Linked DNA regions of Macaca fascicularis. The protein of the gene in region 1 interacts with the protein of each later gene in a pairwise test. Links are inferred from orthologs where the notes say so. Each region holds a gene or a part of one and is shown on either strand. Other genes may lie near its edges. The genes, in order: FLAD1, TRIM23, CDKN1A and PRTFDC1.

Region 1 (4,904 bases):
TGTCACCAAAGAAAAAAAAAGGGTTTGTGTTTTGGAGTAAGAGATTATCAGGCATTAGGCTGGAATCCCATCTCTACAACTTCCTAGGTATGTAACCCTGGGCAGGTTTCTCAACCTCTCTGACCCTCAGTTTAATCATTAATTGGGCTTTTTTGCTGACCAGGTGTGGTGGCTCATGCCTGTAATCCCAGCATTTTGGGAGGCTGAGGTGGGAGGACTGCTTGAGCCTAGGAGTTCGAGACCAGCCTGGGCAACATGGTGAAACCCTGTCTCTACACAAAAATACAAAAAATTAGCTCTAGCCTGGGTGACAGTGAGATTTTGTCTCAAAAAAAAAAAAAAAAAAAAAAAAAAAGGCTAGGCAAGATGGCTTATGCCTGTAAACCCATCACTTTGGGAGGCTGAGGTGGGAGAATTGCTTGAGGCTGGGCTGTTTAACATTGTGAGAACCCCGTTTATAAAACAAACACACACAGAAAAATAAAATTTTAAAAGGCCGGGCACGGTGGCTCAAGCCTGTAATCCCAGCACTTTGGGAGGCCGAGACGGGCGGATCACGAGGTCAGGAGATCGAGACCATCCTGGCTAACACGGTGAAACCCCGTCTCTACTAAAAAAATACAAAAAGCTAGCCGGGCGAGGTGGTGGGCGCCTGTAGTCCCAGCTACTCGGGAGGCTGAGGCAGGAGAATGGCGGGAACCCGGGAGGCGGAGCTTGTAGTGAGCTGAGATCTGGCCACTGCACTCCAGCCCGGGCGACAGAGTGAGACTCCGTCTCAAAAAAAAAAAAAAAAAAAAAAAAAAAAAAAAAAAAAAAAAAGAAAAAAAGTGCCAACTTTGTAGGGTTGTTGTGAAGATTAGTAAAATCACATATATGTGATGTATAGCACACTGCCAGGCTCTAGTAGGCACTTAAAATATAAGGGTCATCACCCTGGCCAAAATGGTGAAATCCCGTCTCTACTAAAAATACAAAAATTAGACAGGCGTGGTGGCAGGTGCCTGTAATCTCAGCTACTTGGGAGGCTGAGGTGAGAGAACTGCTTGAACCTAGGAGGCAGAGGTTGCAGTGAGCAACCATTTGCACTCCAGCCTCAGCAACAGGAGCGAAACTCTGTCTCACACACATACACACACATACAAAAATAAAAATAGGGGGTCAGGGCTGGGTGCGGTGGCTCACGCCTGTAATCCCAACATTTTGGGAGGCTGAGGTGGGTGGATCACTTGAGGTCAGGAGTTCAAGACCAGCCATGGTGAAACCCTGTCCATCCCTACCAAAAATTAAAAAAAAAAAAAAAAAAAAAAGGGTCTATTAAGGCTGAGTGCAGTAGCTCATGCCTGTCATCCCAACTACTCGGGTGGCTGAGGCATGAGAACTGCTTGAACACGAGAGGTAGAGGTGCAGTCAGCTGAGATTCCACCAATGCACTCCAGCCTGGGCAACAGAGTGAGACGCTATCTTAAAAAAAAAAAAAAAAGACAAATTTACAAAGAATATTAAAAAAGATTACTATTAAAACTTGACATTTGGCCAAGCTCGGCGGTTCATGCCTATAATCCCAGCACTTTGGGAGGATGAGGTGTGGGAGGATCACTTGAGCCCAGGAGTTTGAGACCAGCCTGGGCAACACAGTGAGACCCTGTTTCTGCAAAAAAATAAAAATAAATTAGCCAGGTGTGGTAGCTAACACCTGTAGTCACAGCAACTTCAGAGGCTGAGGCAGGAGGGCTGCTTGAGCCTGGAAATGGAGGCTTCAGTGAGCTGTGACTGTGCCACTGCATTCCAGCCTAGCTGACAGAGCAAAATCCTGTCTCAAAAATAAAAAAACCCTTGTCATCCTTGAGCCATTTCCAAAAAGGCTGAGTAAAACTCTTAAATATACAATACATACACCTGTACCTCCTCTACTCAAGGGGCTTCCTGTCATTGTTGTGTAGCCCCTCTGCCCTCTACCATACTGCTTGGTAAATTGCAATGACCTTTTTATTTTTATTTTTCTTCAATCAGCTCTCAGGTTGAAAAATTGTAGGGACTTTGCTACAAGTTTTTCAGTAGAGTAATTCAAAGAATGAGGGTTAATTTTCCTTCAGTATGCTGCATCCACTCCAGGATCCTACTGCAGCAAGGAGGCTCCCACCCTGTCTCATTTCCTTCCATGGAGGGATGTGCAGCAGGCCCTTAAGGACAAGAGAACGCGGCGCCCTCCCCCCTTTTCTGTCCCAGACACACCTTAAGGATCTCATCTCCAACAATGATGATGCCAGCCGTCACGCTGCGCCCCGGGGAAAGTTCAGAGGCCCTAGATGTCATGGTCCTGCCTTCTCTGCCCCTCTGCAAGGCCCTCCAGTAGCCACCTAGACCCCCAAATAGGGGTCGCAAGCACAGGCGGCCCGCCAGGTCTACAGGGCACTGGGGGCCATAGCCTGGGAACAGGGGATCCTGGGTCGAGGGAACCTGGAGAAGCCAGAAAGGACAATGGGGGAGAGCAGGCGTGCACGTTCCTCCTTAGAGGAAGACCCTAGTCTTCTCTAACCAGATCCTTGACAAGCGACTCCTTTATTCCTGCCTCTTTAATAAACGTGTTCCCCAATCCCAACCCATGCCCTTTTTTTTTTTTTTTTTTTTTTTTTTGAGACGGAGTCTGGCTCTGTCGCCCAGGCTGGAGTGCAGTGGCCAGATCTCCGCTCACTGCAAGCTCCGCCTCCCGGGTTCGCGCAATTCTCCTGCCTCAGCCTCCCGAGCAGCTGGGACTACAGGCGCCCGCCACCTCGCCCGGCTTATTTTTTTTTTTTTTTTGTATTTTTAGTAGAGACGGGGTTTCACCGTGTTAGCCAGGATGGTCTCGATCTCCTGACCTCGTGATCCGCCCGTCTCGGCCTCCCAAAGTGCTGGGATTACAGGCTTGAGCCACCGTGCCCGGCCCCCATGCCCTTTTAAATGTCTTCTAAGCTTAACTCTAGTCTTAAAAACTCCTTCTCTCTTGAGAACCTACCGCTTTAAGTGTCTTCCGTTTGCTGAGCTGGTCTCCTCAAGTGTCTGCTCTATCTTGGACATCTGTATCCTTTTGAATGTCTCTTCGGGGCATCTGCCCCTTTAAATGTCTACGTTATCCTGGGCCTTGGCCCTTTTCAATGCATTCGCTCTCTCCACCCCGGACCAAAATCCCGTCTCTTTCTACTTCAGGCTTCTGCACCCTTTCTAGCCCTGAAATCCCTTGTCCCCACCAAGCTTCAGATTACTGAGGGCTCCTAGGCTCTCACCTGCCTGTTCTGCCCCTTCACCGGGTCTTTCCCTTGTTCCTTTCCTCATGTCCCGGGGCAGCTTCCGTACTTAAAGTCCCGCCTTATTCACACTTAGCTGACATTGAGTGGTGATTTTGGCTGTCGCTTAGACTCTTCCAGGGTCCCATTGGTGTATTCAACTGTCGCTCTCAGGTTTTAGCCAGTAGGTGAGAGCAGGGCCTGATTGTTATAAGCGACAATCACTTGGCCACCCCTCGCCCGGAAATACGGGGGCCGGACCTTAGCCCACGATCGGGGGCGGGACCTCAGGAGTTTAGGGCGCGAAAGGAGCAGTGGTTGGAGGTGAAGTAAGGTCCTAGGGGTGTTTCTGGTGCTGGATTCAAATTATTGTTATGCATATGTTGCTTTGTTTTATTTAATGAGTCAGTTAGCCATGGTTTAAGCTATTTTCATTTACTGTGACTCTAACACTAGGCTAAGGGCTTTTGGAGTGAGCAGGGATCTTACTTTGTAGCAGAAGTTGGAGGGACACGGAGAAAGATTATCACCATTGTCTGTCGGGTATGAAGACCCTGGAGTAGGTGAGCTTTTGGTGTGTGGAACCTTAACTTATCTCTAGTATAATAGACAAAACTAATTACTTAAACCTCTTTGACAAGAAAGAGTCCCAAAACCCTCTCTTCCTCCACCTTGCTCCAGATGGTGCTTAGTTCAAATGACACCTTTCCCAGTTACTGGTCTTGTAGGTGCAAACGAGGCAGCGAATAGGGAGTGCCTTACATGTTTACTCTGGATCCTCACATCATCCGAGCTTACCCCCATTTCAGTTGCCTTTGGCCCAAACGTGCATCTTAAACTTTTTTCCAGTAATAATCTGGGGATCTTCTCATATGCAGATTGATTCAGTAGGTTTGGGTGGGGCCTGAGATCTGCATTTAGCTATTTCCCATGTGATGGTGATCCCACTGCTCTGTGGACTACATTTTGAATGGTAAGGGCCTGAATTCATTCTTTTTGATTTTTGAGGCGGAGTCTCGCTCTGTCACCCAGGCTGGAGTGCAGTGGCGCGATCTCGGCTCACTGCAAGCTCCGCCTCCCGGGTTCATGCCATTTTCCTGCCTCAGCCTCCCGAGTAGCTGGGACTACAGGCGCCCGCCACCACGCACGGCTAATTTTTTTTTTTTTTTTTTTTTTTTTTGTGTGTGTATATATATATATATATATATATTTTTTTTTTTTTTAGTAGAGACGGGTTTTCAGCGTGATAGCCAGGATGATCTCGATCTCCTGATCTCGTGATCCACCCGCCTCGGCCGCCCAAAGTGCTGTAATTACAGGCGTGAGCCACCGCGCCCGGCCAAATTCATTCTTTGTAAGACTGCTAAACCACACCTTGTCCCAGCACTTTGGGAGGCCGAGGCGGGCAGATCACCTGAGGTCAGGAGTTGGAGACCAGCCTGACCAACATGGAGAAACCCCGTCTCTACTAAAAACACAAAAAATTAGCCGCGCGCGGTGGCGGGCGCCTGTAGTCCCAGCTACTCGGGAGGCTGAGGCAGAAGAATGGTGTGAACCTGGGAGGCGGAGCTTTCAGTAAGCCGAGATTGTGTCACTGCAGTCCAGCCTGGGCGACAGCGAGACTCCATCAAAAAGAAAAAA
Region 2 (4,326 bases), on another chromosome or scaffold:
GTCAATTCTTCAATGGCTCGTCACTGTCCTTAAACTAAGTTCTGAACTCTTTATTAACATGGCTGACGAGATCCTGCATGATTTGGCTTTGAACTCTCCATATCCTCTTTTCTTGTCATGTCCCATTCAATATTCAAAGCTCTAACTAGTGAGCTTCTTTAAGTCTCTACAATATGTCCAATTCTCACTTCCAAACATTTTAACATATTGCTCCCTTCTTGGGACAATTCATTCCCCATTCTGCTCTTTTCCTTGACTGAATTTCTTCAAATCTCAGTTTAAACATTGTTTCTTCTCTAAAGATTTCTCTGACCTCCATAAATCATTGCCCGTTTTGTGATGCCAAAGCACCCTGTACTTCTCCTCCATAAAATAGTCACCACATTTAAAACTCTCTCTGTTCCGTGATGAATGACTTCCTTAAACACAGGGACTTTTAAAAAACTTTCCAATGACTGGTGCAATACTAGCAAATTGTAATTGCTCATTAAATACTTAGTAGAAGGTGAAAATATGAAAAATAAAAAACAAGGAGAAAGGGGAAGAAGAAAAAAAAACCATACATGTTCTGTGTGAGCCATTCCAATTCCATCTTCCACGATTTGTTCTCCTCCTTCAATGTGCTGTACAATTCCAACTAATTTTCTGGAATAATCTGAGATTTCCTCTGTGAAGGTCCGTATGCAGTGAGCCATATCTAAAATTGATGCTCGGATCTGATTAGCTTCTGGTTCCAATACTGAATGCTATAAAATGTAACATGAGAAAAGAACTCATAGTATTGACTAATAATATAGAAAAATATTTAAATCCCTGTTAATACAAAAAAGCATCAGCCACAAGTGACTTTTATAACACAGAAAAATACTATAATTTACTTTCACTCCTTTATAAGAAAACTGTACTGCAAAGAAGTAATTTAAAATTTGGAAGTACATTTATTGCTAAATAAGAAACCAAGAGACTATCTCTAAAATTATATCCTAAGTAAGAGCTAACAGACATAAATATTGTCAAACAATCTGGTGCATTATGAAAACATGCAAACAAAGAGAATGTTTGTTTCCTGCTCAAAGGCTATTTTTTTGTGAAGAATGACGCTCTTTGAAGTTTTTCTTTTTTAAATAACATTTAGAAATTAAATCTCTCATTTATTTTCATGCTACCAAACACAATCATTCATCACTTAACTCTTCTTCAATGCCTACTTTCAGAATAAAGAACCAGGTCAGTGAAAACGAATACTGAGCTGGTAAAGTAGCTACAGTGATCCAATTGATTAATAATTAAATTCATACCTTGTGACCTTGGTGTTTTCCATATTCTTTGCAGACACAGCACATGAGTGGGCTAGTTTGACAACCTTCTTCTAAGCAAACAAACTCAATGGCATGCACCTGGTGCTGAGAGCACATGGTTTTCTCATGAGGTTTATCAGCTAGAGGAACTCGCCTGTGCTTTGCTAATGTCTTTGTAGAATGAGTAACTTGAGAACACTCAGAGCACAAATGAGTTGCACACACAGTGCAATATACAGATGCAAGGTGAGCTTCATCTTCATCACAACGAATGATGCTCTGATAAACAAAAAATTAATGCCTTAAAATTGAACCCAATCAGTATAACATGACAAATTTTTAAATATAGAATCCCATAATCTTTTTAGCTTTACTGACCAATATTTACATATGAAAATATATTGGTCATTAAGCACAAAGGTCATTCAATACTCATCCGAGAAACATTCATTTCTACAGGTAAGAAGCTATTTCCAAGATTAACTGACCAATATATGTTATGAATTTGAAGCCAAAAATAAAACTATTCTCGTAGATTCATATTCGGTGCAAAGATCTCTTCCACCAAATCCCCTCACTTTACACAAAAGAAACTAAACCATAGAGAAGTCAAAAGTCTTTTTTTAAAACTACAAAAATCTGATACTAAACATAACCCCATAGCTTTAAGTATTAGTTGTCATGATGATGTACAGGAAGGACAGAAGCACAAATACTATTTAGAAAATGTAGGAATTAGCTGTAAGCTTTTAAAAACATAGTTGTCTGGACGCTAATCTGAGAAATTCTTATTTCAACAGGTTGTGGATGAACCCTAGACTTGTATATATTTTTCTAATTATACACCACATATTTTAATAGCTCCACAGGTGAGTCTATTGCACAATCATGGCAGAAAACCACTGATTTAAGCAAATAATTAAAAAAAAAAAATAGGCCAGGCTCAGTGGCTCACACCTGTAATCCCAGCACTTTAAGAAGGCTGAGGCAGGTAATCACTTGAGGCCAGGAGTAAGAGACCAGTCTGGCCAACATGGAGAAACTCTATCTCTACTAAACATCCAAAAATTGGTCAGGTGTGGTGGTGCACACCTGTAATTCCAGCTACTCAGGTAGCTGAGGCACAAGAATCACTTGAAGCCAGGAGGCAGAGACTGCAGGTAACTGAGATCACGCCACTGCACTCCAGCAAGGGTGACAGAGCAAGACTCTGTCTTAAAAAATAACAATTAATAAACAAATAAAACCTATATGTAAGCATCTAAATATTATTTCTAGTTTTCAGGAATTACAAAAAATAATTACTAAATAATTATTTTTATTTCAAGTAGATAAAATATTACATGTCAGATAATCAAGAATGCTTTGAACACTTTTACTAAACGTTAAAAGGCCATAAGTGGAAGGGGAGAAATTTAGTATAAATTTTTTCAAAAATAAAAATGTTTAAATACATCAGTGGTGTCATTCATTATCACATTAAATAAAAAACGAATCCAAAGTGGAAGAGTTTTGTTTGCAATTATAAGAAGTGTATATATGTACCATAAAAATTCAGGTCTTCTGTTTTCCAGACCTGACAAATAAATAAATTATAAATTATAAAGTCAACATTAGCTAACAGTAATGTCTTTTGAAGTAAAGATTTAGCACATGAAAGAACTGCAGAAATTTTAGAAAACAGAGTGTTGCAGTTTGAAATTAATTTCACTGATTCACTTCAGTATAAAGAAATCATCATCTAATAAAAGAGAAGCAGAAAGCAATCCGACATTTTTTTTCTTGATACAAATATGTGGTTTGCAAGTTGATCACCAAAATCATTAACTGATATTTACTCCAAATATATTTCTATCCATAATAGCCTATGAAAGCCATGTCCTATAGTACATATGTGCAGCTGTGCAAATAATACGTAAGTGCTAAAAATATACTTTTACATTATTAAAAAATCCAGTGTTCATGGATTCTAATATTTACCAGATATCTACCTGTATGGATAAAGACAGTACATCTATACAAAGTTTAACTTTTTCTTGAAGATAGAATAGTAACAATTCCCTCAGAAGCTACTGCTATCTTTAAGGCAATTTTCCCTGTATATTAAATGGCCTCTTACATGGAGTTTTACTTTCTCTCATTGAGTTTTTCTGTTGACTAATTTACTTTTGCATCCTCTGCTCCACTGTTGCTTACTTATCTTTCTTACTATGCTATAATCTTCTTCCTCTTTTCACTTTATCCTTGGTAGAACTGAATTATGATAAGGGAAAAAAAGTTCACACATAAGGCATAGTTTAGGCATCGTATTTTCAAATAATTCTAGTTCTACTTTTTTCTCTTGGGAATAGTGCTGGCCTTTAGAACTGTAATGTAATGCAAAGTTGTGTTTCTAGAAATTTACCTGCTGAATTAAATGAGGTAATATTGTGCTAATAATGGCATATATTAAAAGAAAAATTCATGCTCGTAACAAATATTTCACCAAGTATGATCAATACCTCTCCAGATATCCCAATGGATTCTTCTGCAGCTCCATATTGACCAATAGGCCCATTCTGCAGTCGTTCCAAAAGTTCCAATAAAGCAAAATTTTTTTTCAAGCCCCAGACACCTGAATCTCCTAGAATATAAAAACAAAAACTAAATCTAACAAAATGGACTATTAATCGTTTTACCCATACCTCAAAAGTAATTTCTAATCCATATAGTTCAGTCGTTAATGTCTAAATTTGAAAAATTCAAATTTTCCCCATTATTTGATACCAAAATAATTGCTTTGTTAATACTCTCTTTTAAAAAACAGAAGAATCCCTCAGGCTTCCAAGTAGAAACACACTTTAAAATTTATTATTTTTTGGCCAGGCGCATTGGCTCACGACTGTAATCCCAGCAGTTTGGGAGGCTGAGACGGGCAGATCACTTAAGGCCAGGAGTTCAAGACCAGCCCGGTCAACATGGTCAAATCCTGTCTCTACTACAAATATGAAAATTAACCAGGTGTGGCGTCAGGTGCCTGTAAACCCAG
Region 3 (4,984 bases), on another chromosome or scaffold:
AAGAAAAGAAAGAAAGAAAGAAAGAAAGAAAGAAAGAAAGAAAGAAAGAAAGAAAGAAAGAAAGAAAGAAAGAAAGGAAGGAAGGAAGGAAGGAAGGAAGGAAGGAAGGAAGGAAGGAAGGAAGAAAGAAAGGAAGAAAGGAAGAAAGGAAGGAAGAAAGAAAGAAAGAAAGAAAGAAAGAAAGAAAGAAAGAAAGAGAAAGAGAAAGAAAGAAAAAGAGAGAGAGAGAAAGAAAGCAAGCAAGCAAGCAAGCAAGCAAGCAAGCAAGCAAGCAGGCAGGAAAGAAAAAGAAAGAAAGGAAGAAAGGAAGAAAGGAAGGAAGAAAGAAAGAAAGAAAGAAAGAAAGAAAGAAAGGAAGGAAGGAAGGAAGGAAGGAAGGAAGGAAGAAAGAAAGGAAGAAAGGAAGAAAGGAAGGAAGAAAGAAAGAAAGAAAGAAAGAAAGAAAGAAAGAGAAAGAAAGAAAAAGAGAGAGAGAGAAAGAAAGAAAGCAAGCAAGCAAGCAAGCAGGCAGGAAAGAAAAAGAAAGAAAGAAAGAAAGAAAGAAAGAAAGAAAGAAAGAAAGAAAGAAAGAAAGAAAGAAAGAAAGAAAGAAAGAAAAGAAAGAAAGAAAGAAAGAAAGAAAGAAAGAAAGAAAGAAAGAAAGAAAGAAAGAAAGAAATAAAGAAAGAAAGAAAGAAAGAAGCACCTAGGGAGCTTTTTCAAAATATAGATTTTGAAAAATCCCTGCCTCTTGAGACCAACTTAATCCAAATTGAAGTTTCAAGCAAGTGTTTGGCACCGTTCCTCAGATGGGCACTCTTGGGGTGCCAGCCAAAGGGGGACACACTGGTGTGTTTGAAATGGACATTCTTGGTCTCAATACATCATAGGCACAAGGAGGAGGAGCCCGCCTAGGGCTTCATCAAGGAGCTGGATATTCCCTGGCTCCCGGGAGCTCAAGACAGGACTAGGATCTAGGCAGGTACCCTCTCCTCTTCTACCACCCATCCTTCTCTTATGGCTCTTATAGGCCTCTCCTCGCCCATCAAAATCTGCTCTCATGCTCATTGTCATAATAACTTTCAGCCCAAAGAAAACAGAAACGTAAACCCGTGTTTTACAAACAACTGAAAATAGCCTCCTTTATTGGCTTTGCTGCCTTAGACTTCAGCCATATTTTAATTTCCAGTAAGAGCTCAGTAAATACTGTTGAATCTAAGGAGTGCTCCTTTGAAGGGGTGGTAATGGCATAGGGGTTATTCTCGGAGTAGCCGCGGCGGTTCGCGCCGGCCAGCCCCACTCCGCGGGAAAGCCGGTGTGCTATTACCGCCAGGGCCGGGAGGGGGCGCCGGCCTCCAGGAAATCACGCGCGGGGTGGGAGGTGCGTGGGCAGAGCCTCGGACTGCGGGAGGGAGTAGTGATGAGTCAGTTTCCTGCAAGGCGCTGCTCGCCCGCCAAAACTCTGCTTCCACTCCGGCTGCGCGTCACCCTGGGGTGGGGAGGGGGAGCATGGGAGGGGACAGCGGGGGGGCGCCGCGAACACGTCACGCTGAGCCGGCCAGGCTTCCGAAACTCCCGCCGCTGTTGGGAAACCGCGCGCTCTTGTGCCGTCTCTGACACACACACACACACACACGCACACACGCGCGCGCGCGCACACACACACACGCGCCGGGAGCCGACCCCTCCACCTTATCTCCACGCCCAAAGCATGGGATGAGTCAGATCCCTGGAAAATAAAAATAGACGGGAGCAACGAAAACAAAACCGCTCGCAAGTCCTCCCAGAAACGCGACGTGGAGGGAGGGAAGGAGAGGGGAAGCTGCCTGGGCGCCCCAAGTTCCAAACCCAGCTCCAAGATGCTTTTCCGCACGAAGAGGGCGCAAGTGTCCCCCAGGGGTTCTGGACCGAGAGGATGCGCTGTGATCCGCGCCAAGTGGCGGCGCCCCAGGGGGCGACTCGCCCCCCTGCTCCGCTCAGCCCTGTCGCTTTCCGAGAGGGAATCTGGGCTAGGTCGGGGCGCCACCGAGGCAGCTGATGGAGGCCCTGAGCAGCGTCGTGCCCCCCAGAATCCCCACCCCGCAAAGACCTGACCCCTTACCACCTCCCACCCAGGCGTGGGCTCTGCTCTCGCCCCGGAGTCCAGCGCCCCGACCCGAGGGCAGGCTGGGCCGTGATTCTCCCGGCCGCGGTGGGAAAGAGTTAGAGGAGACCCTTGCCCTTCCCCGACTGACAGGCTGGTTGGAGCCCGCCCAGCGCAGAGTCGTGACTCCCCGACCCCTAGCGAAGCGGGGACCCGACGCGGTGTCCTGGACCTCCGGTGCCCTGCTTCCCTGGGAACAAGCTGTTCCAGCCAAATAGGTCACTGTGCCGATGGGAGGACGGAGACCGCGGCGGGGCAGGGGAGAGGGCTTCGGGAGTCCCATTGTACCCCTTCCCGGGCGGGGTTCTGACCTCATACAGTCCGTTCCCTGGGGTCTCCTTGTCACAGTGAGTCACCTCCTCGTTTGTCCTTAGGGGACGTGTCCTGGCACACTCCCAAGGGCCGGGAAACAGCCCGCGCTGACCTCAGTGCCCAGCCAGGTGGTGGACACAGTGGCGTAGAGGACCTGAACCTGGGACCTGGGCCAGGGCGGCGCCAGTTGGATCCGAGAGCCGCCTAGGACCGATCCTAGACGAATTTACTCCACTCCGCTTTCCTCGCCCCTCCTGGGCCCCTCCAGGGACACGGACTTCATCCCCAGGCCGCGAGCAAACTGCGCCTGGGGCCTGCAGCCAACCGCAGCCAAAGGCGAGCTCTCAGAGCAGTCCGGTCCACGCCCTCCCTCGCCCCAGCTGGGTTTCCAGGGGCGGGGATCGTGACCGGGGATCCCTGTACTGGTAATCCCGCTCTCTGCCCCGGGTCTCCGGCACATCCCGACCCCCGTCACCCGCGCACTTACAGATACCGTGTGCGCAAGCCGAGCGCGCACCGATCCACGCCCGTCATTCACCTGCCACAGAAACACCTGTGAACGCAGCGCACACCCGCGAACACGCATCCTCGCGGACACGCACGGACACACGCGGGCACGCTCGGCTCGGCTCTGGGCCGCCGGCCCGGGGTCCCCTGTTGTCTGCCGCCGCTCTCTCACCTCCTCTGAGTGCCTCGGTGCCTCGGCGAATCCGCGCCCAGCTCTGGCCCCACAAGGAACTGACTTCGGCAGCTGCTCACACCTCAGCTGGCGCAGCTCAGCGCGGCCCTGATATACCACCGCCCCGCCCGGGCCCGCCTCAAGGAGGCGGGACCCGCGCTCGGCCCACCGCGCCGCCCGGGACCGCCCTCCCCGGGGCCCAGGCTCCTGGCTGCCCAGCGCCGAGCCAGCTGAGCCTGGCCGAGTTCCAGCAGGCCAGCCGGTCCGGAACCTCGCGTGCTGCAGGAGGGCACTTCCCTCCTCCCCCAGTCCCTCGCCTGCGTTGGTGCGCTGGACATATTTCCCCACGAAGTGAGCCACAAATCTGGCTTTTTTTACTTGGAGAATGAGTTGGCACTCCCCAGGAGGACACAGCACTGTTAGAATGAGCCCCCTTTCTGGCCCACCGTTGATCCACTCTGGGGGTCGGGGAGTCCGACCTGGCAGGCAAGGATTTACCCAATGCAGCTGAAAAGATCAGGAGGATGACATTAATAAATAAAAATTCATAAATAATAAAAACGATGCACCTCTCTGCAATTTCCAGAAAAGTTCTATAATATCACCTCTATTCCCACTGATCCCTCACTAGGTCACCTCTCCCAGAAGCATCTGGAGCACCTAGACACCCCAACAAAGCATCTTGAGGCCGGAATGCTTTTCCAGTCTCGTTTATTTCACAGATGAGGAAATTGAGGTCCACTGAACTTAAGTATACAAAGTTGTTGATTGTCACATGCTTCCAGGAAGGAGGCAATTGGAGACACTACCAGAAAAGGGCAACCTGATCTCCAGGGAAACCGAAGAATTGGACATTGAACCAATCTCTGTACACCCTACACTCACCTCAACAGACGAAACCCCTGTGGTTGCAGCAGCTTTGTTGGCCAGGAAGGGGAGGATTTGACGAGTGAGTTGTCTGTCTCCTGAATACTCCCCACACAGCCCCTGTACGCTTCTGGGGAAACTGGGGCTCAGAGAAGTCTAGTGACCTAACTCAGATCATGCAGCAAAGAAATGACTATAGTTGGAACACAGGCCTTTTGCCTCCTGCCCAGGACTCTCTGCTTGTCATCCTTTATTTCTGTGGCTCCAGAATGACAAAAATGCCAAATAACCCTCATTTGCAGATGGTTTATGGAGATGACATAAATAAAGGACAACTCTGGAAGTGTCTACTGGTGCTTCTGACAGACACAGAGATGAATGACAAGTCTATCCGCTCCCATCTACCGCACACCCCTGCCCTCCCTTGGACTTCACCTTTGCCTCCTTTCTGAGCCTGAAACATTTGCAGTTTTGCTTTTAAAAAATTGCAGAGGATGGATTGTTCATCTGAACAGAAATCCCACTAAAAAACAGAACCCAGGCTTGGAGCAGCTACAATTACTTACATCTCAGGCTGCTCAGAGTCTGGAAATCTCTGCCCAGACATGCCCAGTCTTCTTCCTTTAACGCAGCTGACCTCAGGGAGGACAGGCTTCTTTCTCCTCTGCTGTGTGAATGGGAGCCCGTAGGGGTGGGAGGACACAGCAGCAGACCCCCTCGGCCTGCCTGGTCCTAGAGTCAGGCCAGGATTGTGGCTAAACCCCAGAAAGGCCACAGCACGGCCTCAGGACCCCACTCTAAGCCCCACTGCTGTCTGCACCTTCCCTCCTATACATCCAAACCATCCAAAGGGTGGGTTGTCAAATGTCCAGCAGAGGATAGGCATCTCCTCCCACGGCCTTGAAGCCCCTCTGCTTTCAAGCATTTCAAATAGACTAGACATTGTCTGTTTACTTTGGGGGAAAAAATTTTTTTTAATAAAGGCTTGTAATGAATTATTTACA
Region 4 (4,326 bases), on another chromosome or scaffold:
CAGTAAGCTGAGACTGCACCACTGCACTCCAGTCTGGGTGACAGAGCAAGACTCCATCTCAAACAAAAAAACAAACAAACAAAAAATAGGGGGTAGCTGTACCTAGCTACTCAGGAGGTTGAGGTGGGAGGATCACTTGAGCCCAGAAGTTTGAGGCTGCAGTGTGTTATGATCACACTACTGTGATCATAGAGCAAGACCCTGTCTCTTGCTCTAAAAAAGGTCTGGGTGCAGTGGCTCATGCCTGTAATCCTAGCACTTGGGGCGGCTGAGGCAGGCAGATCACTTGAGGTCAGGAGTTCAGACCATCCTGGCCAACATGGTGAAACCCTAGCTCATCTCTGCTAAAAATACAAAACATTAGCTAGGCACGGTGGCGGGCGCCTGTAGTCCCAGCTACTTGGGAAGCTGAGGCATGAGAATTGTTCGAACTCAGAGGGCAGAGGTTGCAGTGAGCTGAGATTGTGCCACTGCACTTCAGCCTGGGCGACAGAGAAAGGCTGTGTCTCAACACAAACAAACAAAAAAATGAAGGGAGAAGAGCAATTGCACGGGGGCTCATCCAGCTGCTCCTGGAAACAGCTAATGGAGGCTCAGTAAAGAGGAACTCAGAAACATGGCGAAGCACGTCTTCTTCCCTTTCTTCTCTCAGGCTAGCAGTCAAGGGCTGCTTTTCAGTGTGGTCAAACTGTAATACCCCAGGGGAAAAGGTCACTAGATTGGAATATATTATACTGTTTGGAAAGAGCATCCTGTGTTAGCATACCTTTTGGGCTTGCTTGGAAAACCAGAAATCACCATGCTATGAATGTCCAACTCACCTGGCTACCTTAACCATGTTGGGCTTGTATTTCTCTATATTGCTGAGTAGTGCTTTCATGGTCCTCCCAGTTCCGACGACATCCTTTGCAGAAAGGACAGATAAATTCAACAAAGTGCATCTGAGCAGCACAACAGACTTTTCATCCAGGGCGATACTCCTGATTAATAATGCATCGTAATTAAAAATGCCATCCAATTTGGAGCCAAAGGAGGAGGAGGAGTGGGTTATGTTTTATCTAGACAGGCACTTCCTTCTGGAAGCTGAGTTTTGGGGAATCTACCGGAGACTCTTTCCTCCTTGAATCCTTTAGCTGTGTTGAAGGGCCAAATTTAGCCTTTGGACAGCATGTGGGACTCCTCATTGAGTACATTTGGACTCGCGTATGCACATTCAAGGACTAAATTTGGCCCTGAGGTTATGTAACACAATACAAGGCACATGAATTTTCATGGATATGTACATCTGAATACACTGAATGGATAAATGCCTCCCCCTCATCCTCCCCCACTCAATAGGGCATTCTATGGCTGGGAAGTGAGAGGTGTCTGGACAGCAGCTGGTGACAGCCTGTGAATTCTGAGGGTCCACGGCTGCAGTGAGCTCGGGCTCATCTCCGCTGATGAGCTGCTGCACAATTAGAGGAGAATGGGCAGCCGCGATTTATTGTCCTAAGGACAGGAATCAGCTGTCACGAGCTGATTATCAAAACAACAGGTCTGAATGTAACCAGGCTTGGGCAATTCATTTGGTGAGAGGGTCTGCTCCATGGGTTATACTGAGCAAGAACTCCAGATACACATGGCGCACACAGGCAATTGTGTAGCAAAAGGTTGAAAATAGCTCCCCTGAATTTTTTGCTGTTTGATGAGACGAGCATGCTCCTGAAGGAAACGTGGCCATTTGCTGTATTAGTCCACTACTGCCATAGGGATCCCACGTTCTCTTTTTTAACAGAAAAACAAACGTAAAACAAAACAAAACAAAACCAAAAAAACCCAAAACCATAGCTTTCCCCATAGCTCACCATTTTTAATTGATTGTGTTTATGATTTTGATGCTGAAAGTATTTGAGAATTCTCAAAATCGTCAGAGGTCCTTAGCAAAAACACTGAATTCAGGGCAAACAGAGTTCTAACCTTGGTTTCATTGTGAAATGAATTTGGTTCGGTGAGCTAGTTTCCTCTTCTTTAAACTTGTCTGATTCACAAAGAACCATAAGAATCAACACAGAGATACGTGGAACTGGATACACAAAAAGGACAAAGTCGTCCACAAATATTGTTGCCAAGCTCTTATTCTACATTATTTGAAATCAGGGATGCTATTTGGCCCGTATTCATTAAATTTGGAGAGCATGCACCCAGTGGGAGCTCAAGAAATCCTTGGTCAATTTGATAACAAGGTGTGCAGTTTAAAACTCACCATTAGAGTCTTTCAACCTCCAAGTATGGAAAGGAAATGCCAGCTTACCTCAACAATGAGAACATTCTGAAATAAACAAAACCCGTATTTTAGAATGCGATGCCAATCTGACTCACAGGATACATACACATTTTTTTGCTTATAGTTAGAATTTCACAATTTGCTCAGACAGTCCTTCCCCATCCATCTAATTCAAAGGACTAGAGGTGATCTAGGTTTTCCAGATTCATTTTAACAGGTCCTCCGGCATTAGTTGGTGATGCAATGTTAGTATCTATATTTAGGTTAGAAACAAGCTTATGTTAGACCTGTCTGACGAGCTCTCCATAAAGTCATCCCTTCTCAGTAATTCTGCCAAGGGCCTCCCACCCCCACCTGGGAGGCAAAGCCTGTTAAGAGTTTCCCAGGAAAACAATGCAACATGAACCGCATCACTAACGGAGATTGTGCTTGGTAAATGCATCATGGGTTCAGCTGTGACAGCCTTCCTCTTGCACGACCACCAAAATCCCTGGGGACTCAGGATTTCCTCTTGGATTGCCAACCTAGATGAAGACAGTAGGCTAGAGAAAGGACTGGGAGGTGCCTGGTGTGTATTTTTAGTGAGATGGTTAGATTCCTTGCAACAAGGTCTCAAGGCATTCCTCTACCTCTTCCCTAAGCACACTGTGATATGGTTTGGATTTGTGTCCCTGCCCAAATATGCTGAAACGTAATCCTCAGCGCTAGAGGCGGGGCCTGGTGGGAGGTGACTGGATCAGGGGGGTGGGTCTCATGAATGGTTTAGCATCACGTCCCTTGGTGGTGGTGTCCTGATAGTGAGTTGCCCTGAAATCTGGTTGTTTAAAGGTGTAGGACACCTCCCCCTCTTTCTCTTGCTCCATGTCTGTCTCCAGACATGTGAAGTGCTGCTCTCCCTTTGCCTCTGCTATAATTTTTTTTTTTTTTTGAAACAGCATCCCACTCTGTCACCCAGGCTGCAGTGCAGTGGTGCGATCTCCGCTCACTGTAACCTCCGCTTCCCGGGTTCAAGCGATTCTCCCACCTCACCTTCCCACATGGCTGGGATTACAGGTGTGCACCACCACGCCTGGCTAATTTTTGTATTTTCAGTAGAGATGGAGTTTTACCATGTTGGCCAGGCTGGTCACAAACTTAGGAGCTCAAGTGATCTGCCCTTCTTGGCCTCCCAAAGTGCTGGGATTACAGGCACGAGCCGCCACACCCGGCTGCCTTCTGCCATAATTTTAAGTTTCCTGAAGCCTCCCCAGAAGCAGAACAGATGCCAGCGTCATGCTTCCTATACAGCCTGTGGAACTGAGAGCCACCTACACCTTTTCTCTTGATAAATTACCCAGTCTCAGGTATTTCTTTATATCAGTGTGAGGAAGGACTAATACACGATGATTGTACTACATTTTAATTTCTTGTTTGATATGTCTTCCCCACTATATTCTAATCGCCATGAGGTGGGGATCATGTTTGTCTCGATTCCTACCATATTGCCAGAAACTAGCATAATGCCTGCATATAAGTGCTCAATAATTATTTGTTGAATAAAGCAATAACAACTGATTAAACTTATTACTGAGTTAAAACTGACCGATTAATTGGATTAGGAGTGACATGTCAATGCTGCCCCACCAAATTAAAATATGACTGTGTTAATATGCCATCCCAATTTACTAAATGGTGAGACTATTCTTTCAATGTAATGGTGTTTTTCTTTCTTTAGATGACTTTACATTTATCTCTATGATTTATACAATACTTTAAGAATCATGACCCGGCACAGTGGCTCACGCCTGTAATCCCAGCACTTTGGGAGGCCGAGGTGGGTGGATCACCTGAGGTCAGGAGTTCGAGACCAGCCTGGCCAACTTGGTGAAACCCCGTCTCTACTAAAATATACAAAAATTAGCTGGGTGTGGTGGTAGGTGCCTGTAATCCTAGCTACTCAGGAGGCTGAGGCGGGAGAATCACTTGAACCTGGGAGGTGGAGGTTGCAGTGAACCAAGATTGCGCCACTGCACTCCAGCCTGGGTGACAGGTAAGACTCCATCTCAAAAGAAAAAAAAAAT

The links.
Region 2: the proteins of FLAD1 (region 1) and TRIM23 interact in binary tests that used the Homo sapiens proteins (3 or more experiments, as listed by UniProt). The two-hybrid records come from large-scale screens. The link is inferred for Macaca fascicularis from reciprocal best matches to the Homo sapiens genes FLAD1 and TRIM23.
Region 3: the proteins of FLAD1 (region 1) and CDKN1A interact in a two-hybrid assay, tested with the Homo sapiens proteins (2 studies listed by BioGRID and IntAct). The link is inferred for Macaca fascicularis from reciprocal best matches to the Homo sapiens genes FLAD1 and CDKN1A.
Region 4: the proteins of FLAD1 (region 1) and PRTFDC1 interact in binary tests that used the Homo sapiens proteins (3 or more experiments, as listed by UniProt). The two-hybrid records come from large-scale screens. The link is inferred for Macaca fascicularis from reciprocal best matches to the Homo sapiens genes FLAD1 and PRTFDC1.

What each region holds. Positions count from the first base shown.
Region 1 is NC_088375.1:106,160,525-106,165,428, forward strand, and holds the start of FLAD1 (FAD synthase), read right to left. Parts: upstream 3,323-4,904; 5' UTR 3,264-3,322; exon of another isoform or gene 2,996-3,263; intron 2,458-2,995; 5' UTR 2,314-2,457; coding exon 2,233-2,313; intron 1-2,232. UniProt on the Homo sapiens protein: Catalyzes the adenylation of flavin mononucleotide (FMN) to form flavin adenine dinucleotide (FAD) coenzyme.
Region 2 is NC_088380.1:71,308,013-71,312,338, forward strand, and holds part of TRIM23 (E3 ubiquitin-protein ligase TRIM23), read right to left. Parts: intron 3,922-4,326; coding exon 3,800-3,921; intron 1,578-3,799; coding exon 1,299-1,577; intron 747-1,298; coding exon 564-746; intron 1-563.
Region 3 is NC_088378.1:134,986,560-134,991,543, forward strand, and holds the start of CDKN1A (cyclin-dependent kinase inhibitor 1), read right to left. Parts: upstream 3,199-4,984; 5' UTR 2,973-3,198; exon of another isoform or gene 2,922-2,972; intron 1-2,921. UniProt on the Homo sapiens protein: Plays an important role in controlling cell cycle progression and DNA damage-induced G2 arrest. Involved in p53/TP53 mediated inhibition of cellular proliferation in response to DNA damage.
Region 4 is NC_088383.1:25,635,052-25,639,377, forward strand, and holds part of PRTFDC1 (phosphoribosyltransferase domain-containing protein 1), read right to left. Parts: intron 2,312-4,326; coding exon 2,294-2,311; intron 905-2,293; coding exon 822-904; intron 1-821. UniProt on the Homo sapiens protein: Has low, barely detectable phosphoribosyltransferase activity (in vitro). Binds GMP, IMP and alpha-D-5-phosphoribosyl 1-pyrophosphate (PRPP). Is not expected to contribute to purine metabolism or GMP salvage.